4 linked regions of the Arabidopsis thaliana genome follow. The protein of the gene in region 1 interacts with the protein of each later gene in a pairwise test. Each region holds a gene or a part of one and is shown in the gene's direction. Other genes may lie near its edges.

Region 1 (8,470 bases):
TCCATCGGTGGAAACTTGTTACCCTTGTTCAACCGCTCCTCACGCTAAAGCTCCCTCTCCTCCTGAGATTATTGCTCCTGTTCCTCTTGGAATTTATGATGGTGGTCAAAAGAATGTTGTCAAGAAACGTGTGTCTTTTGCTGAACCGGTAGAAGAAGTCAAACCAATAGAAACCATTAAAGAGCAAGAACAAGAACAAGACGAAGATTATGATGAAGAAAGTGAGGACGAAGATGATGGTGATGATGATGATGAAGAAGAAGAAGAAGGGGATGAGGAAGCTAAAGAAGAAGAAAAAGATCACAGTTCAAGCTATGGAAATGAGGAATATGAAGTCGTAGATAAAGGAGAAGTGAAAGCTTTGTATGTTCCGTCTGGTTACGGATTAGAAGCGACCGATCTCTGTGAGGTTATATTTGGAGGTTACTTTCCTTGTGTGTTACGTAACAAAAGACGTCAGGAAGATGAACAAGATCGTGGGGCTGCTGTTTCTTGCTGGGAAAGCAACGATTCTGATCCGTGGAAGACAACTTCCGATCACCTTTTCGGGGATTCATATCCGTACGGTTACGAGAATCGGAGCGAAAGAAATCAGTTCGAGGTCTCCTCTTATGGTTACCGGATGTATTAACAACCCTAGTTATCATCAGTTGTGTCAATGTGAGGTAAGAACAACATTCTTTTGATTATTGATGAACCTGATTTTTTAGTATCTGTTACACAAGAGATGAGATTTACTGTTGTATAACGAGGAGGGGTTACTTAATAATAAAACGTCGCACGCAAAATCTATCTTCAACCTTTCTATTTGTAACATTCTCTTTAACACGTTTGTTTAAAATCTAAAATCTTTAAATACTACACTCGATGTGATAATTGATTACTGTATCCATCGTAATTATTATTGGTATATATACATTTCTTTGTGAAAAACACCAAATAAATGAAAGAATTGTATCATGGTATATCTAATATCTATCACTGTGAGTACAAGTGCAGAAGAAATTGTAGAAGTAGAAAAGTCAACGATAAAGATGAATTAGCTGAAGTTGAAGAACACTCTAATAAGTAATAACAAACAATGAACACCATGGGGGTTCTTGATTATCTTAAATGAAAATTAGTACCCGATTCAAAAGAATATCATTTTTTTGTGTTTTTGGAAACTCTTTTGAGACGTTAACATGTTGACTAATAAATTATGTGTAAATATACTTTTTTGCAGAAATTATTTTTGTGGATGTATAACTTGTTTACCTGAGCATGTAAGTATATGGAATTTTCAAAACTGTACTACGTATAGACAATATGCAAATACAGAAAACAAAACAAAATACCGTATTTACACGCGATATTAATAAGGTTCAATGACATGCTACTTCTTAACTAAAACAAAATTTAAAATGATTGATGAAAGCTTTACATGTGCGTCATGGAGGCTTAACTTTGTTTTGAGACGTCTACTTCTTTTTTTTTATTCTTATCCCTTTCCAATTTAGTTATATGTAGTATAATCAGATTAATTCACCATATATAAAACCCTTTTTCAAAAAAAAATAAAAAAAATTATAAAAGTATAATAATTATTGAGCTGTTGGTTATACTGTTTTAATTTCATCGAATACTTTCTCTGTTTTGTTTTAAATGATGATCCAGAGAATTTTGTTTATCTTATTTCAAGTGATGTTTTCAAAAGTTTAAATATATTTGATTGTAACCATTTATATAATAGAATATGTTTTTTACTAGTTGAATTAGTTTTATTTTAACAATTTATATATATAAAATAAACAAAATATTTTTTTTATTATTTCTTAATTTATGTGAAAAACTTTAGATATGATTTAATATGAAAAGATAGAATATATTATATACCAATCTTGTAAATTTATTCTAGAACTAAGTCAAAACCACTAACTTTTCTTTTGTGACAACTTTTTTATAAAAAAAATTTAACATCATTAGAACCACTAACTCAATTGTTATTATATTTGGTGAATTGATCTAATTAGTAGAAGGAATATATATGTCTGCACTACTGGAGAGAAAATGCCCCGTCCATTATGTTCTAAGCCTTTTCTAGATAACTTACTGAATCTAAAAATAGCATCTGCTTTTTGTCCCTACAAAGTTATATGGACAAACTAAAGGAATGAAAGAGTTCGATATACCCAAATGGGGATAATATAATTTTTTCATCAACTTTAAAAGTTCAAATATAGAGCTAATTATACGCATTTATAATTAACAAAAACGAGATAGTGCAAAACAAGATGGATCCAATGAAAAGACAAAAGAGAATAATTAATGGATCGAATATAATTCAAAATGGGCACAAAACAAATTTGCACGCAAAAAGTTATTGAATGAGAGTTGCAAAATCTCATATAGTACTTATTTACTACATATGATTAGTTTATCTCGTTGAAAAGTTCGTGTTTTTTCCTATTTTGCACCAAATTCAACAAATCCTTGAGTCAGTCCAATTACAATTGAAAGTAAAGAACCCAAACTTGAACCTATACGACCAGACGGAGACGGGCATGCAAGTGTTTAAGTGTCATTAGATTACAAATGTTTAAGTGTCATTAGATTACACGAAGTATAGATTTAGATATACCAACTAGCTCGGGTTTGCATGACTTATTTTTTCTCACTAAACTCAGTTACATCATCTCTCCGACTCTCTTTTATGAAAATCATTTTGCTAATTAATAAGGTGCGCGGCAGATAACACGCATGATAAAGCCAATGTATCGGTTTCTCATTTACTCATATAACGTATAAAATGGAAAAGCTAATTCATCGGCGCCTCATGAAACGTGTGATAAAGCCAATGTATCGGTTCTCATTTCTACTATATAATAAATAAATAAATATAACAGTAAATATACACATATTGACCGGAAAAAAAAAAGATTGTTACCGCATGAGCAGTTATATTTGTGACGACTTCTTAAACTTAAGTATCCTACTAATTTTGTTCTTTCATTAGTTAATAATATGCTCGGGTTTGTAGTAGTGCTTTGTTCTTCACAAACGCTTATCCTATATAAAAAGAAAGTTTTTTTAGACCAGAAAAGTAAATAAAATTAAGCTAGTTGTGTGTAGGAACATTCAACTTGTTCAAATATTTGAACTATTTTGTAATTTATAATTTTACATAATGTGGAACAAGATTCTAATATTATTTAAATTGAACTTGACAGCACTAAGTTTTTTATTTATTTATTTTTGATAGAAAGACCACTAAGTTAATATAATAGAGCAATAATTCAGGGGTTTTTTCTATTAAAATGACAGAACCCAAACACAGTACTCTTTCTTATAAGTTATAAATATGGGAAGGGTGGTTGCCAAACTCAAAGTACTTTGGGTCTTAACTCTTTCTAACACACAAACTCACATAGAATTCAAGAAAGAGAGAACGAGGGAGAGATGGGTGAGGATATGCGAGGAGTGAAAGTAGTCTCAAAATGGCCACCGATGATAGTTATGGTGACATCACAAGTAGCGATGGGTTCGGTGAATGCACTTGTGAAGAAAGCTCTTGATGTTGGTGTGAACCATATGATCATTGGTGCTTATCGAATGGCTATTTCCTCTTTCATTCTGGTTCCTATCGCCTATTTTTTGGAAAGGTTTATTGATATTTTGATGAAAATAGTTGAGTTATATATTTTTCTTATGCAAAATTTTCAAAAATTTGATTATATCAAAATAGTTTTTTCATATTTACATAATTAACAACATTTACTACAATTGAAGATTGTCAGAATGCTCTATTATAACATGTAAATAAACACCACTACATGTTACTAATATATGAAGTAGATTGATATTTTCTTTCCCCTAAAGTTTATGTCTTATTGTTAACAGGAAAATAATACCGAAAATAACGTTTAGGCTAATGGTCGATCATTTCATCAGTGGTTTGCTCGGGTTTGTCTTCTCACAATTTCTTATGTTCTTTTGTCGTCCATTTTCCATTTTCCTTTTCCATTATACATTGATTGTTTCCACAGAAGAAAGATTTTCTTTCAAGTGAGCATAAAATCTTCATAAGCTAGCTAAATTGTTTTTAATCTTAGCTTAGTTTTGGGTTTAAATTTGCAGGGCGAGTTTGATGCAATTTTTCTATTTGCTTGGTCTGTCCTACACGTCAGCAACTGTTGCGTGTGCTTTGGTAAGCTTGATGCCTGCAATCACCTTTGCTTTCGCTCTTATTTTGAGGTAATTATGGAACCATCTAACTTCTTTATCATTAAAATAAGTACTGTATTTACTATTACTATGCAATGGGTTCATGCAGGATTTATTCGTATTTGTTATGTATACAGTGCATATAATTTCTTTTGTTTTTTCATCAAGCATATTATACTTCTATATATAGAAATACTCAAAAGAACCTTACTCATAAATTATCTCAAATTTATCATCTAAAAGGTTATATTACTTTTCAGAACTGAGAAGATAAAAGATCTAAAGACCCAAGCAGGAATGATAAAAGTGATGGGAACTCTAATATGTATAAGTGGAGCTTTGTTCTTAACATTTTACAAAGGCCCTCATATATCAAACTCTCACTCTCACCTAGAGGCTCTTCCTCACAACAACAGCGATCACAACACCAAGAATTGGCTTCTTGGATGTCTCTACTTAGTCATAGGAATCGTGTTGCTATCTCTATGGATATTGTTTCAAGGGACTTTAAGCATCAAGTATCCTTGCAAATTCTCAAGCACTTGTCTCATGTCAATTTTCGCAGCTTTTCAATGTGCTCTATTGAGTCTTTACAAGAGTAGAGACCTTAAACATTGGATCATCGACGATGGATTTGTGATTGGTGTCATAATATATGCTGTAAGTTATAATACTATATTATCAGAAATCTTAACATTTTTATAAATTATAATGTAGTATATATGTAAATAATTAAATAAATTTTGGGGTTTACCTAATATTACCTTATTACTATACACGTATTATAGGGAGTGATAGGACAAGCAATGTCGACTGTAGCAGCGACATGGGGAATAAACAGATTAGGAGCTGTTTTCGCATCAGCAATTATGCCAGTTTCTCTCATATCGGCTACTCTATTCGATTTCCTTATCTTACACACTCCTTTATACCTCGGAAGGTGCTCTCTTCGATCATCTCTATGAAATTTTTTGTATAGCTTTATAGATGTTAATGTATTAGGTTCATGCTCGTATTACTAATTACAATTTATTTTGTAACTTTTGCTATACAGTGTGATTGGATCAGTAGGGACAATAATAGGTCTCTACGTGTTCTTGTGGGGTAAGAACAAAGAAACGGAAGCAGACATAACTACATTGTCTTCTCGGATGAACAACGAAGATCAACGAGTCTAGGTCGCCCATTTAATCAAATAATATTGTTGTCATAGAAAGATTCATATGGCTTCATTGTCGTAAATTAGTATTTACTACTGAATACATTTACCGTAAAGACCAGTCATAAATATTTAGATTTAAATTGTGCAAGCACACTCACGTTAAAGACCAGTCATAAATATTCAGATTCAAATTGTGCAAGCAGTTTGTATAATTCATACTTTTCGTTTGCAGATTTATAATTTCGTAAAGAGATAACAAAACAGATTTGTTATAATATTCAAAACTAACCAATATAAAGCATATATGATATATCAAAACATTTCACAACAGATCTGTTAAAAGAGCCTCGTAATATTGTTTTTAGTTTCAAAAGCTCTGTTTCTTGGATTATTTTCGTGCTGATTTTAAATGTGTTGCGTTTTGAGTTTGTAGCCTGTTGCTAAAACAGTAAGAATTTAAGGTCTAGAAAAAATAAAGACCAATTGTAATTAGTACTACTGTATATATATTATGCACTACTGGAGTGAAAATGCCCCGTCCATTTTTTCTAAGCCTTACCTTAATCTAGAATAGCATCTGCTTTTTGTCCCTACAAAGTTCGACGGACAAAATAAAGGAAGGCAAAATTTCGATACCCATATTGGGGAGAAACAACTATATACTAATACAGTATAATTTTTTTCATTAACTTCTATATTGAAATGTATAACAATTATTATGTGCATTATAAATAACAAAAACGAGGTACTGCATGGATCCAGTGAAAGGACAGAGCGTAAAAGGGATCGAATCCAAATTGGGAACAATAAAATGGAGAATTATTGAATGAGAGTTGCAAAAATCTCATATAATTATGATAACTTTTTCCCATCATATCGAATCAGAATTCAATATGACGTGGTCATCGTAGATGGGGAATTCAGTATAATACTTTAGTGTTTATGTGTCATTAGATTACACTAAGTATAGATTATACCGACACTGTTTTACTTCATTTGCATGACACGGGTGATAACGCCAATGTATTGGTGTCTCATATAACGTATAGAATGGAAAGCTAAGGTATCGGTGTCTCATGGAACGTGTGATAAAAGCCAATGTATCGGTGTCTCATGCATTTCTACTAAATATAAAAGTAAAAATAATACAGTAAAGGCAATCGTCATGTATATATCGCAACACTGACCTGAAAAATAAATAAAAAATATTTTACCGCAGTAATTATATTTGCGACAACTTCTTAAACTTAAAGCTAACGATTTAATCCATTACTCAATAAGAATATGCTCGGGTTTGTGCTTTGTTCCCTCCTCACAAACACTTATCTTATATAAAATAAAGTTTATTTTTTAGATTAGTCTTAACCAGAACAACAAAAAAATATATACAAATTAATTAGCTAGTTGTGTGGGTGGGAACATTCAAACTATTTAAATATTTTGACAAAAAAAAATTTTATTATTTTTTTTTACTTTTCACACATAATGCGGAACAAGATTCTAATATTATTTAAAATGAACTCGAGTAGACACCACTAAGTTTTTTTGTAAAAAATGTTTTTGATAGAAAGACAACTAAGTTAATACAACAATTCTTCAACTCAGGGTCTTTTCTATTAGAATTAGAGAACCCATACACACATGTTTCTTATATATATAGAGGAAGGTTTGTGGTTGCCAAACTCAAAGCACATTGGGTTTCAATTCTTTTTAACGCACATACACCAAATGACATAGAAAGAAAGAGAGGACGAGAGAGGGATGGGTGAGGATATGCGAGTAGTGAAAGTAGAATCAAAATGGCCACCGATAATAGTAATGGTAATATCACAAGTAGCAATGGGTTCGGTGAATGCACTTGTGAAGAAAGCTCTTGATGTTGGTGTGAACCATATGATCATTGGTGCTTATCGAATTGCTATTTCCTCTTTCATTCTGGCTCCTATCGCCTATATTTTGGAAAGGTTTGATTTTTTTGATGAAATAGTAAGTTATTTACTTTTTTGGCGAATATTGTGAGAATGCTCTACTTTAACATGAAATAAATATAAACTAGTATTTGTTACTAATATATGAAGTTTAATTATTGACATTTTTTCCTAAAATTTACGTCTTATTGTTAACAGGGAAATAATACCGGAAATAACGTTTAGGCTAATGGTCGATCATTTCATCAGTGGATTGCTCGGGTTTGTCTTCTCAACTCAACATAATATTTGATTATGTTCTTTTGTCGTCCATTTTCAATTTCCTTTCCACATAGGAATTATTTTCTCTCAAGTAGCATAAAATTCATCATAAGCTTTTTTTTTTTTTTTAATTCTAGCTTAGTTTTGGGTTTAAATTTGCAGGGCGAGTTTGATGCAATTTTTCTATTTGCTTGGTCTGTCTTACACGTCAGCAACTGTTGCGTGTGCTTTGGTAAGCTTGATGCCTGCAATCACCTTTGCTTTCGCTCTTATTTTGAGGTAATTATGGAACCATCTAACTTCTTTATCATTAAAATAAGTACTGTATTTACTATTACTATGCAATGGGTTCATGCAGGATTTATTCGTATTTGTTATGTATACAGTGCATATAATTTCTTTTGTTTTTTCATCAAGCATATTATACTTCTATATATAGAAATACTCAAAAGAACCTTACTCATAAATTATCTATATAATGGGTCCGTGTAATTACTATCTTATGCATACAATATATACACATATAAAATTTCTTTAATTTTTTCATCAAAGATAATACTTTTATAGTAATACTCAACAGCATCTTACATATTTTTCATGTTTAATATTTGGAATGAGCCAAATAGGCCTTGGATACTATAAATATATTTATAGCATCCACACGTAAATTATTGGATTTAAGTCGATTTAAACTCCTATTTTCTCCTGTTTTTTTTTTTTTGTTTTGTAACGTAAGGACAAAAACATTTACTGTGTTAAATTATCATATAAAATTACATATCTTTTCAGGACTGAAAAGATAAAAAGTCTAAGAACCCAAGCAGGAATGATAAAAGTGATGGGAACTATTATATGTATAAGTGGAGCTTTGTTCTTAACATTTTACAAAGGCCCTCATATATCAAACTCTCACTCT
Region 2 (7,975 bases), on another chromosome or scaffold:
TTTTTCAGATGAGAAGAGCAGAGAAGTACTCCAAGAACTTTCAGGCGACCTCGATCCCATTATCGCTAAAGGTTGTGATTCTTCATTGAGTATCTTGGAATTTAAGAATTCAAAAAAATATGACCCTCTCATATAAAATGGTGTGTGTGGGTCTGTTGTGTAATGAAAACATCTACGTTTCATCTTCCTTTTGTTAAACTTTGTTTTGTATTCAAATGATTTGCAGACGGTTTAAGCTCTGTTTTAAGCTATTATCTCGGCCTACTTGCATTTCTTCACTTTCTCAGTGAAAGAATGATTAATTTTTTTCATTAGAGTGCACAATTGTTAATTAATATTTTCTTGTTATAGAAGCAAATTACAAAAAAGCTATCTGACAGATTCCAATGTGATCAGTTCAGTCCAAGCTGTGCTAGTGAAGTCATATTCTTGATTCAAGTAAGAGTTGTGGCTCGAAAACCAACCATTTGCAGATAAGCTTTCTCCGAGTGAGTGAGTTGAATGATCCAGTTACCCGCCCCCAAGTTATCAATCTTCCATGAATCTCTGTTTGCATCTCCTTCTAGTCATCTGAGCCCATCTCGCAAAGATCTCTGCTGCAGCAAACTTACCTGAGAACTTAGCTCTCTGTGCCAATTCCTCAAATATCTCCGGTTGTCCCCCTCTGTGGAAATCAGCTGCAAACTTGTTATAATCAATCAAAGGGGTTTTCATTCCTTTGTCAAGCATCTCCTCCAAGTATCTGCATGCCTCTCTCGACTTCCCTTCACTTATAAGCCCTCTGATCAAAACCGTGTAGGAGTTATCGTCAGGACAAATCCCTTTCTTGATCATCTCGTCCCAAACTGCTCTCCCCATCTCATAGTTTCTCGCCACGAAGTAAGATTTCATTATCATGTTGAACGTGTGTATCGATGGCTCAATTTCGTTCTGGATCATCTTGTTGTAGATCCTTGTGCCATGTTCCGGCATTTTCTGGTTCGCCATCAGTTTGATCAACGCATTATACGTTTTGCCATCCGGAGGGTGTCCCTTTTCTTGCATCTCCTTGAGCAGTTCGTAAACAGTATCCAGCTTCTTCTGAGTCCCAAACCCCGTGATCAGACACGTGTAAACCGCAGCATCAGGTTGCAACCCGGAATCAACCATGTCATCAAAGTACTCAATGGCAGTTTCCATGCTCGACTGTTTGCAGAAGTCCCGGATCATGATGGTATAGCTACGGACATTAGGGCAAGGTCCCTTGGATTTCATAACATGGAACAATTTGATCGCATCTGATTTTTTCATACTCCTCAACAACCCTTCAAGCATTACGTTGTGAGCTACAATGTCAGGTTTCAATCCGTGATCAATCATATCATTCCAGATTCTAGCTGCTTCTATCAAGTTCCTCACCCTGCACCAACCATTGAGTAGAACAGTGTAAGTCATCATATTAGGTGTAAACCTCTCCTTCAGCTTATCAAACAGAACCTGAGCTTCTTTTCCAAGCTTAGCCCTGCCAAGACTATCAAGCAAGCAATTAATGGTTTCAACACCAATCTTAAACTTGTACTTCTTCATCAACTCAAAGATACCAACAGCTTTCTTCCTCTCTTTCGCAGCAGCGAAAGCTTTCATCGCGATAGTGAATGTCTCCATCGTCAATAGACCTTTCGTACCCATCTCTTCGAGTACCGAAACCATCGTCTCGAACTGTCTAGTCTTTGCTAAAATACTCATCATGGAGTTATATGTTCTTGAAGCATGAGCAAATCCTTGTCTCTCTGCAGCCCAACAGAAGAACCTAAATGCAGGCTTCCTAGCATGTCGAAAACGTTCTAAAACCTCAACGATGAGATCATGTGATAAATCTAGTTTCATTTCATCAAGAACAGCTTCCATATTTCTATCTAACGCAAACAATTCATCAATCACTTTGCAGACTCTCTCTACTTCTTCCGGATTAGTACTTGATTCAACACAACTGACCCCAGTTTCTTCATCATTATCGCATTCAGATTCAACTTCTTCATCACATCCATCACTAACATTAGAACTACCACTAGAGAAACCTCTACACCCAAGACTCGCATCAAGCAGTTGTACAGAGGAGTGTGGCAATGGAATTTGACGGTAAGGATGATAAGTAGAAGAATGAATCATACGAGAGAAGAGAGCACCGGAAAATCGTACTTCCTCTTCTCCTCTCCCGCCGATTACGCGGCTTTGACTGGAAATGAATTCATCGGCATCGAATGAAGAAGAGCAAATGAGGAATCTTCTTAATGAAGTCTGAGTGGAGCTTCTTCTCCTAGAGAGATAGAGCCATGGAGCAGCAGCCATGGAAGCTCGACGGCGATTAGCAATGGCGAAGTCGGTGAAAAGCCACTGATTTACGGCGGAGAGCTCTTCACGTATTTGGGCCTTTGTTTGATTAGAAGCTTTGAGTGATAATAATTTTGACCCATTAAAGGCCCATTGATCTGGTCACATATAACCATTGGGTCCACCAGGAGCATTAAAGCTCAAACGCATAAAGAATTTTTATTTTTTAGTTGGAAGGTATCTGTATGCATCTTATCTTCGTTTTAGGGTCGTGATATTTTCTCAAGTTTTTCTTAGGGGACCAATTTATTTTTAGATTTATTTGATTCTATCTTACATTTCTCTTAGTTCACGTTGTCTTTGTATACGTGTTTATGGATATTACATAACTGAAAATCAAGATCAGTCAATCAGTGTAACATCAATCATCAATAACCCTGCGGGATGTATATAAAACTAAGGGATATATGAGGAAAATCAGATTCCAGATTAAGTTCATAAATATTGATTCACCTAAAATCTATAATAACATAGTAGTTCAGAAGCATGAAATAATTCTATAAAAAATCATGAATTATCTACATAAAAATATCGCATATTGTAGATAAGAGTCACCCCTGAAAGAAAAACGATAGTTTTCTGTATTTGGTTATCAATCAATCCTATGTGGGTTTATATCTTATCTAATGTAAAAATTACACAAAGGATAGTGTCTGCAAATATCTAAATGAAAACACTTAATTCCAAAATGAGAAATCAAGTGGGTTTTGCCTAGCTAATTGTATAAATAGTAACACAATCATAATCTCTTCTTCCATCAGGTCTTCTTCATAATATATTTCTTCTCTAATAATTGAAAGCAAAAGAAAACAGTTTTTTTTTTTAGAAAGGTAAAGAAATGGAGGAAACAAAGGAGAGAAAGATAGTAGTAGCAGTAGACGAAAGCGAAGAGAGCATGGAAGCTCTGTCATGGAGTCTTGACAATCTTTTTCCATATGGTTCCAATAATACACTCATCCTCCTCTACGTCAAGCCCCCTCTTCCCGTTTACTCTTCCCTCGATGCCGCAGGTTAGTCCTCGTTCTTTCACGATTCATATCTTTCCCTAATTATAATCTGTTCACTTTAGTTATAGATTTTTGTTTGGTCGATTTCCAGGGTTTATAGTGACAGGAGACCCGGTTGCAGCTTTGAAGAAGTATGAATACGAGCTCGTGGAATCGGTCATGGCTCGGTCTCGAACCGTGTACCAAGATTATGAGTCTGATGTAAGCTTATTTCTATCGATTTTTTATCACTTAATTTGCTGGATTATACTTGCTTAAAAAACTTGAGAAATTATGAGAAAGTGAATTTAATCAAGTAGTTATGAGTTAATCTGTTTATCATGAGCAATATTTAGTACAAAAAATATAACATATGATAAGCAAAATATGGTTGTTTTCAAAGAGAGTTGGCGAAATAAATGTAAATATAACCAAATTAATGTGCAGATTAATATAGAGAGACGAGTTGGAAGAGGAGATGCTAAGGAAGTTATATGCAACGCAGTTCAGAAACTTAGAGTTGATATGTTAGTAATGGGCACTCATGACTATGGCTTCTTCAAAAGGTAAGGTTTCAATCTCTTATAAGAAACAAAAATATTTTGGTTTAATGGTTATTTGATAATCATTTGATATATTTGATAGGGCTTTGCTAGGGAGTGTGAGCGAGTATTGCGCCAAACGAGTCAAGTGTCCTGTGGTTATCGTCAAGAAGCAAGCTCAAGATAATTAAGCTCATATGATTGCATTGTGTATATGTTTCGAAAGAACTGGTGTAACACTTGAATCAATCTTCGTATGCGATAATAAAATACATAACGGTTTAAACAAATTTAGCAGATATTTTTGCTTATATAAAACTAGCTGACAATGACATCAATCAACCAATTAAATTCAAATCTACATTCTCTACATACAATGCCAAATTAAAAACTAATGTAAACGCAAATTTCAATTTAACGTATAGAAGAATGTAATGAACCATATACCAAGTTTTGAATATTTGCAATTTTGTTGTTTGAACACTTAATTGTTGTTCGCTTCAAAGTTCAATAAAGGCCTCAAGGCCCAAAGTATATCTGTTACTCATCCAGTCGACACAGTCATACTTAAACGTCGCCGTTTCCGTGTTCGAAGCTTCGTGAAAATCTTCAATCTCGCGAGAGAGAAGAAGAAGAAGAAGAAGAAGAAGAAGCGATGTTCCTGGTGGATTGGTTCTATGGAGTTCTGGCAACTCTGGGACTATGGCAGAAAGAAGCGAAGATTCTGTTTCTAGGTCTCGACAACGCCGGCAAAACCACCTTGCTTCACATGTTAAAGGACGAGGTTCGTTTTCTTCGAGCCATATCAGTAATCGCTGTCTAGAATCTTGTTTCTTTTACTTAGCGCGAACGAATCAAAGTCTTAATCAGCGATAATCGTTTGATTTGGGTTTCAGAGACTGGTCCAGCATCAGCCGACACAGCATCCGACATCGGAAGAGCTTAGTATCGGCAAAATCAAGTTCAAAGCCTTCGATTTGGGAGGTCATCAGATTGCTCGTAGAGTCTGGAAGGACTATTACGCTAAGGTTTGATCTTCTTTCTTCTTTGGATTTTATTGTTAGGTCAATCAATTTAGCAAGTCTTTGGAAGGACTATTGCGCTCGTATAGTTGTATGTAGACTCTAAGCTGACTCTGTTATAGATTACAATCTTCCCTGTGCCCATATAAACAATAGTTAGATGATAGAGGTGAAGTGAAATCTTCAATGAAGTTTGTCATATAGCAATTCTCTTTTGAATGTTGCAGCATGAGGTCCTGTGATTACATTCTGCTGGTTATGTGTACCTAGTAAGCTCTTGCTGTGTACTACTCCTACTCTGTTCCTTAGCCACTGTGTTGCTCCGTTGGGTTATATAAGTTTGCAGATGATAGTTTGAAATGATTGAGCTATAGTAAAATCTTCAGATGATAGATATACATATACATCATATACTGTAGTTTAAAATGACATTGTGATTGGTATGTGGAGCCAGTGGAGGTTGAAAATTAGAAGATTGTATAGCTATAGACTACTCTTACTGTCAGTTTTAGAGTCATGAGGTCCCTTGTGATTTACATTCTCATAGCTGATGATTCCAGTGAATCAAGAGATTAATAGACTCCGGTGTTTCTATTAGCTACCCTCTTTGCATTCTATCTTCAAGTTTGTAACTTTATTATTGTCTCGTATTAGGTTGATGCAGTGGTATACCTAGTTGATGCATATGACAAAGAGAGGTTTGCAGAATCAAAGAAAGAGCTTGACGCTCTTCTCTCTGATGAATCCCTAGCAAATGTCCCTTTCCTCATCCTTGGAAACAAAATCGACATTCCGTACGCTGCATCAGAAGACGAGCTGCGTTATCATCTAGGCCTCACCAGTTTCACCACTGGGAAAGGTAAAGTGAATCTAGCAGGAACAAATGTTCGTCCTCTTGAGGTGTTCATGTGCAGCATTGTCAGAAAGATGGGTTACGGCGAAGGATTTAAATGGGTTTCTCAATATATCGACTAGATCAATCATATTTAAGTCTTATCTATCTATACTGTGTGATTGGTATCTGTACGTGTTATAACCTAATGTATAATTACGATTAATGTGTGTATACAACAAGATTTGACGGCTTTTAAATTATCAATTTTGTGTTTACAGACCAAAGTTGAATCCTATGAAAAGTGTGAACCCATTTGTCTGTGACTGTGTAACTGTGTGGGGCTTAAGAAATGGCTGTATCTTAGCTTTTTTATGAAAATTCGAAAGATGAACACTTTTACTTTAATAATGTAATGTAGAGAAAACCCCATGTGAATCGAGTTTGACAATTAACAATCACAATGTCCTACACTGAAAACCAATCAATTTGACACATAGATGTACCATAATGAGTGTACGTATATTGTTTTACATGTGTTATGTCTCTTTGTGAACTTATCATTATGTCTGTTTTTCTTCTTTCTAGGTATTGTGAAATGAACACAAACAGATCTATGGATAACCATGTATTTATTTTCATTAAAATATGTGAACAATAATACTCCAAAATAGTTCACAAAATAAGTAAAAAAATTTGCTTTTTAGCACCATCACAATGCGTCTTTGATCTCAGCCGCTTCCAAACGTTCAAGTCGCAGCGTAATAAGGCTAATAGATTAGATTTTGCGACTCAAGATTTTGCAGCTCAAGCATATATATGTCTACGGACTATGCAAATATGGATGTGTAAGAAAACTATTAGGTGCTCACTTTCTCTTTTTATAACTTTTTCAGAACATTTCTCCTTTGGACTGATTCTTCTCTACGTGGCCCAAAGTTAATATCAAAAGTTTTTTTTTAACGTATTATTTCTATCATTTGTTATTAATTTTTTCTCCTTTGGATTGATTCCTTGTTACAGTTTTTGCTCTTCTTTTTACTATGCTGTTTCTTTTTTATATTCGCCACTAGCTAGAGACTGGTTCTATGTCCCAGGACCCATGAAATACCAAGCACGAAAATGTGACCAAATGAATAATTTGATTTAAGTTTTTTGCTTGAATGAGAAAAGTTTTTTTTATATATAAAAAAATGTCAAAATATTAAAACTCATTCGATTGATTGCGTGGAGAAGAGAAAAATAAATTTAGAAGAAGTATTAACTTGGTTTTTGGGGTAAAGGGATGCACATGGATCCCTCATTCCCACGTGATATCTAAGCCAAGAACACGTGCCTCCCTCTGAGCTATCTGACTTTTATGTGATTGGTTTCAGTTTTTAGTTCAAAACCCAAAGCTTTTGGATCCAAAAGAGGTCTCTATCGTATGCATTTGAGCAAAACTAGATGATTGGTTTGATGCCCAACGCAATATTCTCTCTTTTTTACTCAATACTTCAAATTAAATAACGACGTTAATCATACAACTAGTATTATTAGTATTTGATAATAGATTCCTATCTTAAAACTTGCGCCAACTTTGACACTTATTTGGTTCTATATAAAACCCATGTCTCGGTGAAAGTCACCAGTCATAGACAATGCAATCATGTTGCAATGTCGAAACACCCAATAGTGAAAGTGTTATGTACAATATTTTTGGATGTCCACTTGTAGCTAGAAAGCTTAATATTTTATGATTTTTCAAATAATTTTTGGTTTCTGTTGGACTATATGCATTCCTATAACTTTGCAAGATACTATATAACTTATCAAAATTAAATTTAGAACTAAAACATACCATATGATAGAAGGGATTTGACGAAGTATACATATTGATGTGTATGTATATATGAAAATATGAAGGGTATTTACGTATAAATATGTATGTACATGTTGTGTGTATGATATATACGCCGTCATGGTGTGCCTCTTAAGATGCTAACATGTTTATAGAATGGGGACAGTTGCCTTTTAAGTAGACCCACTTTTAAACCAAATATTTAACTCAACACTAGTTAACTACAATTAACACGTAATCGTCGTCTTTGTAGAGTTTGTTAACTCAAGCCATCCTGGCATAGTTGTCTCGACCAATGGCACGGTGTGCACTATCATCAACTATTTAATGCTCGACTCTATCTTTTAATTTGTATTATACTAGCAGTTCTCATCTCTTATCTC
Region 3 (7,121 bases), on another chromosome or scaffold:
ATGTAGAGAAGTGCAAAATGAACTTCACATAGTAGAATCAAGGACTTGCGTATCTTTCTGTTGATGTTGTGGCTCAACAGATACATAAGGAAGAATATCACTGAAAGAAGTCCATTAAGATACAGTATCATGAACAATGTTTTTCACAAACACCCAGATACATGAATCCTTGTTATAAAAGCAAATGGGAGGGGGATAATCATACCATATACGGCATGGAAAAACCCAGGTTTCATAGCAATGAGAAAAATCAGTGCAAGCATAATAGCCCGTGAGCATTTCCGCAATCCCCAAGCAATGGTCGCGACGACCAACACCTTTGTTTCTTCATCAGCTGTTATTGATGGTAATTTCAGTCGTTAAGAAAAAATTGAATAAATAGCAGAAGATTGAAATCGCAACCTAAAACTAAGCCCGGAATAAACTAAGCTTGCCAATATAATAGTAATTTTAAGATTTTCTCCTTCAAAATCACACAGTACATAACATTTTCCATGATATTCTATATCAAAAATTTCTTTAAAATATATTTTGGATAGCGTGATAACTCTTTAATTGTCTTTAGATGGTTTCAGTCAGAAAAGATGATAGGTTGATCGCGATAAACAAGTACACCCATTTTCTCAACTTTACAGTTCCGACAACCCTGGAAGTTGGAAAACATCAGATAACTTGCTTTGCAGAACCGAATATGAGGCAATTACCTTCAACGTAAGATCTCTCATTGGAAGATCTGGAGCTCTCTTCAGACAGGTACAGAAAAACAGAATTGTTTACAAGATTACCCAACGCGACCAACATCCCCAAACCAAACTGTGCAAGCAAAAAGAATCCAGGTATAGTATAATGCCAAAGTCCCACCATCTCCCAAATTTGCATGTCCTGTATATTTAAGACACTAGTTGTTAATTTACATCTTAGTTTTCTTAAAGTAGTTGAAGATTTTGCGCATCGAGAATATATTACCTTTCCAACCTTAGTGTTCAGAAAAGAAAAGGCCACATTGAATATATACGTACTGACAGCCCATAAGAGTATAAATACGAGAAGAAGGCCATTTAATCTGTGCAACTGGAACAATGACGGGAAGGCATAAATAATGTAACCAACATATGCAAGGAGGCCAAAAGCACACAAGCTCGCAAAGTGAAAACTCCAGAACGAAAGAGCAAATAGAGAGACCTGGCAATCATGAACGCAAATAAAAAGAGTGTGAGTTTCTGACACATTATGTTGCTTTAGCTGACACATACACTTTAATACCAGGGATACAAATATATACCGGAAAACCATATGTGAAGAAATTAATACTGAAAGTCTTAAACACAGCTCCCCTCAGTAAAACATTGGTGTGCCTGACACCGGCCCTGAAAATTTGGAAAAAATTAACACATTAAGTTGAGTGTAACTATTATCCATCTACAATGCTAATCTTGTACAGCCCAGCCAAGAGAACATCCATTAGAATGTGTGAACTAGTTGTACTCTGTAAGGGAGTACTAATCTTTACCCAACCCCATAGTTTCTATTAGCAGAGAAACCAATCACAACTTTGTGTTCATAAAACTGTCCAGTGTTTAGGCTTCCACGTTTGGTAGTGCCGACCCTTGAACACAATTCTTTGAGCATATTCAACCATAAATTAATTAACATAAGTAAGAAAAAATTAAACAGAAAAACTAAAATTTCCCTTGAAAAACTGATATACTATGTTAAAACCACAACAGCTCCCAGTAGGAAGAAACTAAACAAAAATCTATATAGAATACCTTGATTCTCGAATAAAAAATGAATATTTTGGAGGAAGAAGCCGCTCTGCCAAGTTATTTTCACTCGTGGACATGATAAAGTCCATATCCTCGAGGTCTGACCTTACATAGGATAGCTGCAATAGCAGAACGACAGGCATGTCAAGACTGTTACAGGTATAACATAGTGGTAGCTCGTTAACAGATTAAGGCGGGTAAGTCAGTTCACTTGAAGGAAAAACTACACTGGCTGTTGGTGTTCATAACCAACTCCCCAAACACGGTCACCACATATTGACAGTTGTTTTGAGAAACAGTTCATCAATTATATGGTTCAGTAATATAGTTTATCATTTTACACTTGAGTGAGACCAAGTAATACTAATCCTCGAAAAACAAAAGACATACCATGATGTAGAACAACACAAGGAAAAGACCAGAACAAATATCAGGGCCTTCAGTTTCCAGGGAGATTCTGAATAGACCTATAAAGCTTGCTATCCAACGAATCATATCGGAAAAGTTTATTGGTAGTTGATAGAGGTAAAGCAGGACAATGTTGAATCCTGCGTAGATATAAAGAACTCTCCACCACCTTAACCAGACAAAAAACGACTAGATTTCAGAGAAGCAGGGTTTGGAAGTGCTAACTTTGCGTAATAATCAATAATCTATCCACCTGAAAAGTCCTGAAACATTGCTTGTCAAGGACCAGTCCACAAGACCGGCACAGCTTCCAATAAAAAATGGCAAAGAAACCCATGATGGATTGCAGATTCCCACTGCCAATTGAACTGCTGGTAACAACAAGCAGGAGGCAACCCTAAGATGACTTCCTGAGTAATAAAGGAGGAGATAACGTCAAACCAAGACCAGATGAACACATGATGAGAAAACGTTACAGTAAGTATTTGGACAAGCCGTATGGGCCTAGTACATTAATTACAAACCTAGGTGTTCGAAAATTCCTGAGAAGTGAGACCACCATGTGTCCCGCCATCTAGCGAAGCCGAATCTACTACTGTATATGTCAGCTAAAGCAACCAATGATGTTAGTAGTTGTAAAGCCAGGAAATACATAACGGTGGGGTTTCTCCAAGACTTTAATCTGCAGAAGCAAAGACGAGAGTATCAACTAACAAGTAAATATTTGTAAGGCAGGAAGATGAATGAAATGATGAGAGTACTCTTACATCATAAAGCCAATAACTCTCATCCAGCCAGTATCTGGTGTATCCCAGTCTTGACCTAGAGCAGCCCAAATGACAAGGTAGACCACTTGAGCAAGAAATACTGCAAAGGAAAAGATGAAAATGGGCCATAATAGCCAATGCCTCCTCTGAAAACGGTATCCTGGCAAAATAAAGCAAGAACCAAAGTAAGTTTGAGAAAGTAAACATCAGCTAATCAACCGTAACTGAAAAAAGCGACGAAAACTGAGAATAATAGACTCTCTTTTTTTTTTTTCTGTTTCTCCAGGCTAATGTAGATGTTGGGCATAAACTAGATGAATCCTTTCACACCTAAACCCCAAATCAAAGATTCCAAGAAACATGTACTACAGCAGAAACATTGGGGTATTTCTTTTGATTAGAGGGAAAACAGGCTTACCAATTTCAGGTGCAATATAGTGAACGAGGAGGAAAGCTATCAAATCAAGAAAGGATATGACACTCCAGTTAATAAGTGCAGCTGTGAGAGAAGAGAAAAATATATTAGGAAAATAGAAGCTCAAGCGAAAAAAGTACAAGCTACGGTGTGGTAGAGAATGGAGATAGCAATAACAAGAGATATGATACCAATGTTTTGACATAAAAACACCAGGGTCGTTTAAACTAGTAAAACTTAATAAAGGAACCTTAATAGAGTAGGTACAATGTTAAGGAGTAAATGAGTGAAGCTCAAGATATCCCATGAGACAAAGAGGAGGACTCTGTTGATTGAAGAGGACTAGCAAAGTAAGGATTTTTTTATTATTATTATTGCAAGCAAGAAGATAGAGAAAGAAACCAACCTGCCAGAAGAAGCGAAGGCAACAAGAAGCCCACCAAAAAACTCGCCATTGGAAACTTTTGTCTTAACGATCACCATATCCCAATTCTCATCGAATTCAATAGATCCCCTCTCTAGCTCCGACCTCAATTTCTTCCAAAAGGCCAACGAAATCAGCCCGCCGGAGACTAAAACGGAGGATAAAAATTTCCAATTCTCACGAATTCTAGCAAGTTCCCGAAAAGGTAGCTGTTGAAGATGTGTGTGAATTTGAAGGTGGATTGCAAATTTGAGAGAATTGGAAACTGGAAATCCAAATCCACAAGCAAAAATCAAAGAAAGATCTTTTCTTCTCGCAATAATCATCATTTTAATAAATTATATTTAGCGCCGAGAAATGGCTAAACCAATCAAACCGTCGTGGGCTCGAGATTCAATTATTGATTGCTGGCTTTTAATTTGGAATACCGGAGTTCGGTTGAGAATTGGACCGGTTCAATAAAGCCAACAAGTTTCTTCTTCCTTATCGCGATTATTGGAGGAGAGAATGAGTTGGTCTCTCTGCAGCACCCATGGGGTCTCCTCTTCCATAGCTCTCACTTATGGCTTTCGCCATAGAAGAAGATCCACCTTCCGTATTTTCGCCACCTCTGACGGATTAGAACCCAAGGACGACCCGCCGGAATCTCCTCTCCCTTCCTCATCCTCTGCTCTCGGTAAAGACTTGAAAAAGGTCCGCCTTTTTTCTATATCATTTACGATTTTTCTGTTGAAACCATAGGAAGACATGAAAATGAAAATGCACCATGTTAGATTGGTCTCTAGTGCTTGAACCTGTTGAAAGAGTTGCTCAAGCTTATGACTTTTCAATTCAAGCAGGTTGTTAACAAGACTGCTGCAACCTTTGCCCCTAGAGCTTCCACCGCCAGTAAAAACCCTGCTCTCCCTGGAACTACTCTTTACAAAGTTTTTGAGGTTCAAGGCTATGCATCGATGTTCCTCGGAGGTGTCCTTTCTTTCAACCTCCTCTTTCCCTCCAGCGAACCTGATTTATGGAGGTTGATGGGCATGTGGTCCATTTGGATGTTCAGTATGTCTCCTTCTCTACTTTCTTCTAACTTTATTTATTCCAAGGCTGCATTTTTGCCCCTAATCCTTTACTTTCTTTCCAGCTATTCCTTCTCTTCGGGCACGAGACTGTCCAAGTAAAGAGAAAGAGGCTCTTAACTACCTCTTTCTCATCGTCCCCTTGCTCAATGTTGCTATTCCCTTCTTTTGGAAATCATTTGCTCTTGTCTGGTCTGCTGACACGGTTGCCTTCTTTGCTATGTATGCCTGGAAGGTATGTCGAATGGTAATTATTGAGGGGCGCTTATATAGTTATATGTGCTTGCTCAGATTATTTTTTTCACTTTTTGCCTCTTACTTCAGCTTGGATGGCTGGAAAGAACAGAGTAGGGACTACTCGTGAATCATGATGGGATTAGAGCATGAAGATTCTTTGTCTTTTCTTCCTTAGAATGGTACTTCATTCAGCTTATCGTGTTAGGTACGTGGGTTTAAGGCAAATGAATGTGAACATTGCTCTAGAATGATATATGAACTAGCCCCTTAAGGAATATTTCTTGTAAATCTTAAAGTTCTGAGATGAATTATTGTTCAAAATACAAGTGGGAGTACATATACGTTTTGTTATCAAGAATGCAGCTGGTAAATTTAAACAAAGTAAAAGAATTGAGTATATAGATAATTCTTGCATCCCAGTGTCTGTTGGTTCTTCTATTCGACAGAGAAAGCGAGAGAAGAAGGAGGCTCATGTGTTTAGTTCTAGGCTAAGCCTTTCCTCATCTTCTCGAGTGTACTTTCGATAAAAGCATCTGATTTCTTATTTATATCATTTAGTAGGGGCCCCAGGCGTCTATGAGGCTGTGGTGGTTTCCCTGCTTCAGGCTGAGTGATTTGTTGCTTAGGGCTGGGCTCACCCAGCATGCTCTTTTCCCCGTTCTCCTGTAACCTCTTCTTTGGGCCGTTACTACCATTAACTAGTGTAATCATTGTCTCTCTCTCTGATTCTGGACTTGACGAGGCAGGGGAATTGTTATCCTCCGAGTCTTCTAATTGCTTGAAATGAATAGTGATGTCAGACATTGATCCCTTCTTGATCAGTTTGTTCCTCTCAGGCTTATCTTCATTCATCTCTTTGTCTCCTAATATCCATAGTTTAGCCACCACAAATCGAAACAGCCGACGGCAAATGCCCCGAGGCCGCAGAGAGCTGATGCTGTCATCATCCTCTCTTATGTGCATTCTCTGTCAAAAAGAAGACTGCAGAAACAGAAAGGTATTTTTCTTTTCTCTCCAGGATTATTGTGCTTGAGGAGTGGTTTTGGTGTATATGAAGAAATGAGTAGTGGTATATCGGGTTTGCTTTGATTCTACGCTTTTGTTAGATGGGGAAATTGAGCCAGTGGAAGCTATGTGTCGTTTTATCCAATAAAAGAAGAAGAAAACCAGAATCTCTCTGCTTCCTTCTTCATCCTCTTTTACTTTAACTGAGAAGCAGTTTCAGGAATATTTGTATCAATCAAGTTTCCTCTTTTCTTGATTGAAGCTGAAGATATTTGAAATTAATGGCAAGTGGTGGGGCATATCCTAAAGATTTTTAATACAAATAGTGAATCATGTAACAACAGTAGATGATGTAGCATAATACCCTAATCTTCGTTCTATAAAATTGACCAAATAAAAGGAAAGCAAAATGTTAGGAAGAAACAAGAAAAACCCACTAAACTCTCAAGTGTACAACCAAAAGACTCTGCTTTAAAAAAAAAAAGTAAAGGAAAAAGAAAGAGCTTCCGTGTGTGACACTTTCCAACTCAACTCACTCCTATCTCTGGCGACGATGACTCACTATCTGCCACTGACTTTGATGATGACAAGAGACGCAGCCTCTGGACACGCGGCGGGAGATGCTTGGCTGGTTTTCTTGACACTGGCGGTGTCCACGGCAAGAAAACTCCAGTGCCAGCGTCTAGCCTCTTGGGCGCCGGAGCTAGCATCACCAGAGGAGAAGGGGTGCCTGGTCTCCATAGGGTGGGCGGCGGCTGGACCTTACCGGAGTCCGGTTTGAGTTTGAAGAAGGTGATTGCGACTCTTTTGTTGGGCGAGGGACACATTACATGCCTAGCCATATCTGCACTGTTACCCCTCATCACCAGCAACGACCTGCGAGATTCATTTTCTGATTAGAAAGAAAACTCGGATACAATCAACATCGGGGGAGTGTTTCCATTACCCTTCCTTAAGTGGGAGAGTGAGTGAGCCTCTGAAGTTGCCATCGTTATCGACCCCGAGTCTGTGCCCAAACACCATGGTTGATTC
Region 4 (8,429 bases), on another chromosome or scaffold:
ATGTCTGAGTCTGAACAGTTGAAAGAGAGCCACGGTGTGAAAGAGAGGGAACTTACTGGTTTGAGGGACATTCACGAGACTCATCAAAGAGAATCATCCACTCGTTTGAGTGAATTAGAAACTCAACTGAAATTATTAGAACAACGGGTCGTAGATCTGAGTGCGAGTCTGAATGCTGCAGAGGAAGAAAAGAAGTCCCTGTCCTCAATGATCTTGGAAATTACGGATGAGCTCAAACAGGCCCAAAGCAAGGTACAGGAACTTGTGACTGAATTGGCAGAGTCTAAAGATACACTCACACAAAAAGAGAATGAGCTTTCTAGTTTTGTGGAGGTACACGAGGCCCATAAGAGAGATTCCTCAAGTCAGGTGAAAGAATTAGAAGCACGGGTGGAATCAGCAGAGGAACAGGTTAAAGAATTGAACCAGAACCTGAACAGTTCAGAGGAAGAGAAGAAAATTTTATCTCAGCAAATTTCAGAAATGTCGATCAAGATCAAGCGGGCGGAAAGCACCATACAAGAACTCAGCTCTGAGTCTGAACGATTAAAAGGGAGCCACGCTGAGAAAGACAATGAACTTTTTAGCTTGAGGGATATCCATGAGACTCATCAGAGAGAATTATCCACTCAGTTAAGAGGTTTAGAAGCGCAACTGGAATCATCTGAACACAGGGTTTTGGAATTGAGCGAAAGTCTGAAGGCTGCAGAAGAAGAAAGCAGAACTATGTCCACGAAAATCTCAGAAACTTCAGATGAGCTTGAACGGACACAGATCATGGTACAGGAACTCACAGCTGATTCGAGCAAACTGAAAGAGCAGCTCGCTGAGAAAGAAAGCAAACTATTCCTTCTGACAGAGAAGGACAGCAAATCACAGGTGCAAATAAAAGAACTAGAAGCAACAGTAGCGACACTGGAGCTGGAACTAGAGTCAGTTCGTGCCCGTATAATAGATCTTGAGACAGAGATTGCAAGCAAGACCACCGTAGTTGAGCAGTTGGAAGCGCAAAACAGAGAAATGGTTGCTAGAATCTCAGAACTTGAGAAGACAATGGAGGAGAGAGGAACTGAACTCTCAGCTTTAACTCAAAAACTTGAGGATAACGATAAGCAATCATCGTCTTCAATTGAGACTTTGACAGCTGAGATCGATGGCCTACGAGCAGAATTAGATTCAATGTCTGTTCAAAAAGAAGAGGTGGAGAAACAAATGGTGTGCAAAAGCGAGGAAGCCTCAGTGAAGATTAAACGTTTGGATGATGAGGTCAATGGTCTGAGACAGCAAGTGGCCTCACTTGATAGCCAGAGAGCAGAACTCGAGATCCAACTTGAAAAGAAGTCCGAGGAGATATCTGAATATCTGAGTCAGATTACAAATCTAAAAGAGGAGATCATAAACAAGGTTAAAGTTCACGAGAGTATTCTAGAAGAAATAAATGGTTTATCTGAGAAGATTAAGGGTCGTGAACTTGAGTTAGAGACTCTAGGGAAACAGAGAAGTGAGCTTGATGAGGAGCTGAGAACTAAGAAAGAAGAGAATGTTCAAATGCACGATAAGATCAACGTAGCGTCTTCTGAAATAATGGCCTTAACAGAACTGATCAACAATCTGAAGAATGAGCTTGATTCTCTACAGGTGCAGAAGAGCGAAACCGAAGCAGAGCTTGAGAGAGAGAAGCAAGAGAAATCAGAATTGTCGAATCAGATCACCGATGTCCAGAAAGCATTGGTAGAGCAAGAAGCTGCTTACAATACGCTGGAAGAGGAACACAAGCAGATAAACGAACTATTTAAAGAAACTGAAGCAACACTAAATAAGGTAACTGTGGATTACAAAGAAGCTCAAAGATTGTTGGAGGAGAGGGGTAAGGAAGTGACATCCAGAGATTCTACAATTGGGGTTCATGAAGAGACGATGGAGAGTTTACGTAACGAGCTGGAAATGAAAGGAGACGAGATCGAAACTCTCATGGAGAAGATCAGTAACATCGAGGTTAAGCTACGCTTGTCGAACCAGAAACTGAGAGTAACCGAACAGGTACTAACAGAGAAAGAAGAAGCTTTCAGGAAAGAAGAGGCTAAGCACTTAGAGGAGCAAGCATTGCTTGAGAAGAATCTCACCATGACACATGAGACTTATCGAGGTATGATCAAAGAGATAGCAGATAAAGTGAACATAACAGTAGATGGGTTTCAATCCATGTCAGAAAAACTCACGGAGAAACAGGGGAGATACGAGAAAACTGTAATGGAGGCATCAAAAATACTGTGGACTGCGACGAATTGGGTGATAGAGAGAAATCACGAGAAGGAGAAGATGAATAAAGAGATAGAGAAGAAAGATGAAGAAATAAAAAAGCTTGGAGGAAAAGTAAGAGAAGATGAAAAAGAGAAGGAGATGATGAAAGAGACTTTGATGGGACTTGGAGAAGAGAAAAGAGAAGCGATAAGGCAATTATGTGTTTGGATCGATCACCATAGAAGTCGTTGTGAATATCTTGAGGAGGTTTTGTCTAAGACCGTTGTGGCTCGAGGCCAAAGAAGAGTGTCGCAGCGAACTTAAGGACTCAGTGCCATGGTACGTTGTTTATCTTTCCCAAGCCTAGTTTCCACCTCACATGAATGCAAACAATGAAACAACATATATGTGTTTATTAGGTTTTGGACTCTGGTCAATCAAGAAGCTGGTGGAGAGGTATTTTTGGTTGGGGACTTTTGGTGTACTTGTGTTCGATTTTGTTGCACTTTTATATGTTTGTTAACTTTTGTTGTATTTTGTAAGTCAAAATTTTTGGTTTATTGTGGGCAAAGTTGGTGGTGGTTTTTATGGGAGGTCAGGGAATAAAGGGGCTCACACAAATGGAGTTGATATTTTTTTTTCTTTGGGCGTCGGATTGTATAGAACGATTAAATGCTACTGTTGGTATAGTGCTTTTGCTTGTTTGGAATTTGTTATAGTATCATCTTTGCTCTTTCATAACAAAATTATACACATCGCTTTACAGAGTTTCGTTCTCTCATTCATTTCTTATTTTATTGGGTTTTTTTTTTTTGCATTAGCAGTCGTTATATCTCGCCTTGAATTTCTAATGTGAACTAGTTTGAAATGTTTGAAATGTTTATTCTTTAATAGCAACCACTTTTTTTTCAAGTGTTTTTCACAACCGAAAAAGTCAGCCATGTGAATGATACACAAAATAAGTCAGCCAGTAAGGTTTGGTGATGTTAGATCAATCAAATATTTGAGAAAAAATTCCATAACTAGTTGATATTTCCTAAATCGAAGTTAATTGAAAATTAAGTACAATTTGGCAATATCTTAAATTATTAAATTTTAAATAGAAACTCTATTCACTTTTATGAGTTTATGGAAACACACTACTTTCTCCTCTAAAATCAGACAGTGATTATACTTTGACCTTAAAATTTGAAAAGAGTCTAACACGTTATAATTCCCAATTACTTTATTATCTGATTAATTCACCAAGATACATTAAATCTAAAATTATGTGATAGATATTCATATAAATCATATTGGATTATTCCAACAAAAAAAAAACTCTTAAAATTTGTTTCCTTATTTACAAACAATACATTACTGAAAATTTCTAAATAAAATATCAAAAAGTAATTTCAAAACCTTGTTTTGTCAATTTAATATTTTTATTTTTACAAAAAAAAATCTGAAACATGCAAAGAAGCACAAGTAAAGTACAAGTGGAAATGTATGAAAATAGGAATCATAAAACTAATTTTTTAATTTAATGATAGGAATCTGAAAAAAGCAAAATTTTATCACATCCCGAATAAAGAGGAAAATGCAAAATATGTCTCCTTTTCTCACTATGACAGGTTGTTTCTTTAAAGAAGCAACGGAATTTAACATTATAGCAAACATTAACTATCACCAGCTATCATGCGCCCACCTCTCCACCGTGCTCTCCATCATCATCATTCCATATATAAATCATTCACTTGTAGAATCTTCTTCTCTTTCACACTAAAATTCATCGATGACGGATCCTCCCAGACCCGACCCGTTTCCTGTTACCCGACTCGATTCCGACGCCGGTGCTCTCTTCGTCCTCCAATCAAAAGGTTAAACCCATATATTTATGATATCAATCTCCAATTTTGGAATTTTAACTGATTTGAGAATTAATTCTCAGGCGAGTGGTGGCACGCCGGATTTCATCTAACGACGGCGATTGTTGGTCCGACGATATTGACATTACCATATGCGTTTAGAGGATTAGGATGGTGGTTAGGGTTTGTTTGTTTAACGACGATGGGACTCGTTACTTTCTACGCTTATTACCTCATGTCTAAGGTTCTTGATCACTGTGAAAAATCCGGCCGCCGTCACATCCGTTTCCGGGAACTCGCCGCCGATGTTCTTGGTATCATTCAAAATCTCTTCTTTGTATTTATTAATTTGCTTTTTTTGGATAAATCCGTAAAGGTTGGATCGTGTTTCGATTTGGATACTTTGACTTCTTGTTAGATTCGCCATCATCACACGTGTCTTAGTTTACCGTACCGGTCTAGGTTAGGCCTGTGTATTTCGGTTTATAGATCGGTTTACGTCATAAAGTCTGGTCTTTCCGGTTATTGAGTTTTGGGTTTAAGGGCCGATTTCGAATTTTGAGCCGGTTATTGTGATGTGGTGCAGGATCTGGATTGATGTTTTATGTAGTGATCTTTATTCAAACAGCTATCAACACTGGAATTGGTATTGGCGCCATTCTACTTGCAGGTCAATGTCTTGATGTAAGAAAGAAACCTAAATTTTGATTACTTGTTAAACAAGGTACTATAAGAACCGTACGGATCATCCTCTGTTTTTGTGTTACTACACAGATAATGTATTCGAGTCTTTTCCCGCAAGGAACGTTGAAGCTTTACGAGTTCATTGCTATGGTGACTGTTGTGATGATGGTTCTCTCACAGCTTCCAAGTTTTCACTCTCTTAGACACATTAACTGTGCGTCTCTGCTTCTCAGCTTAGGATATACTTTCCTCGTCGTTGGGGCTTGTATCAACCTAGGTATAATGATTCTTACGTTAGCGAAGAAACAACAACTTACTAATGTTCGAAAATTTAGATTCATTGCCCAGTTTTGGTTCTACAGGTTTGTCGAAAAACGCTCCTAAACGTGAGTATTCTCTAGAGCATTCGGATTCAGGGAAAGTTTTTAGTGCCTTCACATCAATTTCGATCATAGCTGCTATTTTCGGAAATGGAATCTTACCCGAAATACAGGTGAGAAATGTTTGCAATTTATTCAATACAAACATTGTATGTTATGTGTTTGAGATTTATGAGATGATTATATGTATGCAGGCAACTCTTGCTCCACCAGCCACAGGGAAGATGTTGAAAGGACTATTGTTGTGTTATAGTGTGATCTTCTTCACGTTTTACTCTGCTGCAATTTCGGGATATTGGGTTTTTGGTAACAATTCGAGCTCTAATATCCTCAAGAACTTAATGCCTGATGAAGGACCGACTCTGGCTCCTATCGTGGTGATTGGCTTAGCTGTCATCTTTGTCCTTCTTCAGCTTTTCGCCATTGGCCTTGTAAGTTTATAACTAGTGTGATCGTTATTCGATGTTACTTGGCTGTGAGACGAGTGACTAAATGTTTCTTTTTTTTGGTAACTGGTTAGGTGTATTCTCAAGTTGCGTATGAAATAATGGAGAAGAAATCAGCGGATACAACAAAAGGGATATTCTCAAAACGCAACCTTGTGCCGCGTTTGATACTAAGAACACTATATATGGCGTTTTGCGGGTTCATGGCAGCGATGCTACCGTTCTTTGGGGATATAAACGCGGTGGTAGGAGCGTTTGGGTTTATCCCACTCGATTTCGTGCTGCCAATGCTTCTATACAACATGACCTATAAGCCAACCAGACGGAGCTTCACGTATTGGATAAACATGACGATAATGGTTGTGTTCACTTGTGCAGGACTCATGGGAGCTTTCTCCTCCATTAGGAAACTTGTTCTTGATGCTAATAAGTTCAAGTTGTTTAGCAGTGAAGTTGTTGATTAGATGGTTTTGATAGTGTGATAAAAACATAAACAATACTTGTTTTGTGGTTACACTTGTACATGAATTTCTCGAGTTGATTCATTATCACACAAAATGCAAAACCAAACTAGTTACAAAATGCAAAACCAGACAAGGATTATCACACTTACGTCAATTGTTCTTGAGATGAATATGTTTTTTTTGTTAAATGATTTTCTATTTAAATACAAAGTTCCTTTGGGTATAAACACTAAACAGATTACTGGGTTCAGTAAACTCTCTCAGAGTGTGTTAATTTTCAGTATTCGTAGCTGATTGGTTCGGTTTCGGACCGATTGGATATCCACCAATCCGAAATAATACATTACATATTATTAATTTTATGCTCAATTCGGATCGTGTAATTCAGAATTTCATATTTGATATAGTAAATTTCAAATAATTTTGATAATTCTGATCGGATAATTCGGATATTTTGGATTTCATCGGATAATTCAAATCCAAATAAGAATTAAAACCATACATATTTTGGTTTCGAATACACTTGGGATTCTAAAATATCAATAAAAACCGATTTAAGTCTAAAAAAATTAGAATCATAAAATTGTTTGGATTCTAATCGGATTCTATCAGACCTAATCTAATCTGATCCGATCCAAAATTCGAATGCCCAGACTATCACATACTATGGTCATGGATTTCGGAGCGGATACTCCAATCTCATTTGCATTTTGTCTTCTTCTTCTTTTTTTTTTTAATTATTAAAAATTACCTTAAGAATCTAAATGGAAATGCAAAACAATGTGGACGTAAAGAACTTAGGATCAAGGTAATCTAGCAACAACAAAATAAATGGATATATAGTAAATTTAAAAATAAAATATAGACACAATAACAAGGTACTATTTTTTAATAGCATTTCAATATAACAACTAAAAACAAATCATGAGGAACAAAAAAATACCGAAAAAAGCTCGCGCATAGTGCAGATACTCACCTAATTATATATAAAGGTTTGTATTCATATAGTATCTTTTGGCCATTTTCTGTAAATATATATTATATTGAGAGTATGATTTGAGGATCTTCATCATAAATGAAAAAAATAAATATATGTGGGGACAAGATCAAATTAATGATTTATCATGTGATGTATCAGCGATAGTATTTGTTAAATACTATTTCTAAGGTTTACGTGTTAGGATTAGGAATTTAGGAACGAGCACGAATAGTCAACATACAGAACCTAACTCGTTTTGTGTTAATTGTTTTAGACACATGTGTGTAAGTCAGTAAAAGTTTTTTTCCTAATGGCAAAAGTAATTCATCCATTCAAGATAGAAATGGCCATTTTCTTTAAGAGAAAACCAATCTGATGAAATAGAGTTTACTTAGAAAAAGATAATACCACATGATCGTGCTTTTTTGCAAGACACTCATGTGGAAAAAGAGTGTTTGAAAGAGCTAAAATCTTCTAATTCTGACAGTAAAAGTTTAAGCTCGTTTATTTATTACATTTTTCGTCATTGTCAACTAACTATACATGAGTACTTCATAAAATCCATGTGATTTAGCTTACAAAAAAAAAAAATGTAATTACGTACGTGTATAGAACTTAAAATTCGCTAATGGTTTGGTAAACGCTAGAGTTGGGGCTTAATAATGGTTAACCAAATTTTACCACAAGTCACTAAAATATGATAGTTTAGTATGATTATTGTAGTACTATAATATATAGTCAGTTGCATTACATTCACGTGAAAATTCCACCAAGCTCGGGACACGCGTAGAGGTAGGATATCACTTCTCACTTTCCAGACATTTAATGATTTTTAATCGAGCTTATGGGTCAATCATATCTATCAATTTTTATTTTCTTAAACATATCTATCAATTACTCTAAATTATAATTAAAAAAATGTATTAAGCTTTGTGATATACAAAATTATGGTCAGTTCAATTAGTTGAGAAACTTTCAGCATTAATAGATCTAAATTTGGCCACATGAGATAATTATGTATTTTACTAGAAAAATGTTAAATTAGAGCCAAAAATTCCAAAATTTCAACCAAAAACTTAGAATTTTTATTTGTCTTTCACTAAGAACGTCGTTATCGTGGGATTAAATATTTAATTAATAAACATTAGCTGCAATACTTTCATGTTCATACATATATAAATGTTAAATGATCAGACCGTGAAGCCCATAAGACCATTCATAATTAACCACCAAGTACCCACTTCTCTCTCTCTCTCCATACATATACTATATTATAGATAAATATCCCATCAATACGTAACAACCACCGAGATATTACAATTCACAGGTTTCTAGCTATTTTATATAGTTATTGTAAACCAAAAGAAAAAGATTTTTGGGGATAGATC

The links.
Region 2: the proteins of UMAMIT27 (region 1) and AT3G62560 interact in a protein complementation assay, tested with the Arabidopsis thaliana proteins (one large-scale study listed by BioGRID).
Region 3: the proteins of UMAMIT27 (region 1) and RPH1 interact in a protein complementation assay, tested with the Arabidopsis thaliana proteins (one large-scale study listed by BioGRID).
Region 4: the proteins of UMAMIT27 (region 1) and AT5G41800 interact in a protein complementation assay, tested with the Arabidopsis thaliana proteins (one large-scale study listed by BioGRID).

The regions. Positions count from the first base shown.
Region 1 is NC_003070.9:3,849,879-3,858,348, forward strand, and holds UMAMIT27 (nodulin MtN21 /EamA-like transporter family protein), read left to right. Parts: upstream 1-3,305; 5' UTR 3,306-3,438; coding exon 3,439-3,641; intron 3,642-3,879; coding exon 3,880-3,942; exon of another isoform or gene 3,943-4,116; coding exon 4,117-4,233; intron 4,234-4,463; coding exon 4,464-4,863; intron 4,864-4,991; coding exon 4,992-5,143; coding exon of another isoform or gene 5,144-5,168; exon of another isoform or gene 5,169-5,257; coding exon 5,258-5,381; 3' UTR 5,382-5,629; downstream 5,630-8,470. Other genes in the region: AT1G11440 (uncharacterized protein), read left to right, coding at 1-631; UMAMIT26 (nodulin MtN21 /EamA-like transporter family protein), read left to right, coding at 7,127-7,329, 7,492-7,554, 7,717-7,833, 8,344-8,470.
Region 2 is NC_003074.8:23,132,986-23,140,960, forward strand, and holds AT3G62560 (Ras-related small GTP-binding family protein), read left to right. Parts: upstream 1-4,300; 5' UTR 4,301-4,553; coding exon 4,554-4,682; intron 4,683-4,794; coding exon 4,795-4,926; intron 4,927-5,574; coding exon 5,575-5,895; 3' UTR 5,896-6,160; downstream 6,161-7,975. Other genes in the region: AT3G62530 (ARM repeat superfamily protein), read left to right, coding at 9-136; AT3G62540 (Pentatricopeptide repeat (PPR) superfamily protein), read right to left, coding at 529-2,328; AT3G62550 (Adenine nucleotide alpha hydrolases-like superfamily protein), read left to right, coding at 3,209-3,380, 3,469-3,578, 3,804-3,922, 4,002-4,089.
Region 3 is NC_003071.7:19,658,576-19,665,696, forward strand, and holds RPH1 (resistance to phytophthora 1), read left to right. Parts: upstream 1-4,241; 5' UTR 4,242-4,287; coding exon 4,288-4,473; intron 4,474-4,619; coding exon 4,620-4,830; intron 4,831-4,912; coding exon 4,913-5,094; intron 5,095-5,171; coding exon 5,172-5,198; 3' UTR 5,199-5,327; downstream 5,328-7,121. Other genes in the region: AT2G48060 (piezo-type mechanosensitive ion channel component), read right to left, coding at 1-100, 206-334, 705-882, 967-1,182, 1,283-1,367, 1,770-1,885, 2,157-2,343, 2,428-2,584 and 4 more; AT2G48075 (uncharacterized protein), read right to left, coding at 5,568-6,047; AT2G48080 (oxidoreductase, 2OG-Fe(II) oxygenase family protein), read right to left, coding at 6,617-6,965, 7,036-7,121. UniProt on the Arabidopsis thaliana protein: Plays a positive role in the immune response to the oomycetes P.brassicae, including induced oxidative burst (e.g. H(2)O(2)) and enhanced expression of defense-related genes.
Region 4 is NC_003076.8:16,729,827-16,738,255, forward strand, and holds AT5G41800 (Transmembrane amino acid transporter family protein), read left to right. Parts: upstream 1-3,836; 5' UTR 3,837-4,015; coding exon 4,016-4,100; intron 4,101-4,171; coding exon 4,172-4,402; intron 4,403-4,674; coding exon 4,675-4,772; intron 4,773-4,862; coding exon 4,863-5,049; intron 5,050-5,134; coding exon 5,135-5,265; intron 5,266-5,346; coding exon 5,347-5,583; intron 5,584-5,672; coding exon 5,673-6,062; 3' UTR 6,063-6,267; downstream 6,268-8,429. Other genes in the region: CIP1 (COP1-interactive protein 1), read left to right, coding at 1-2,565.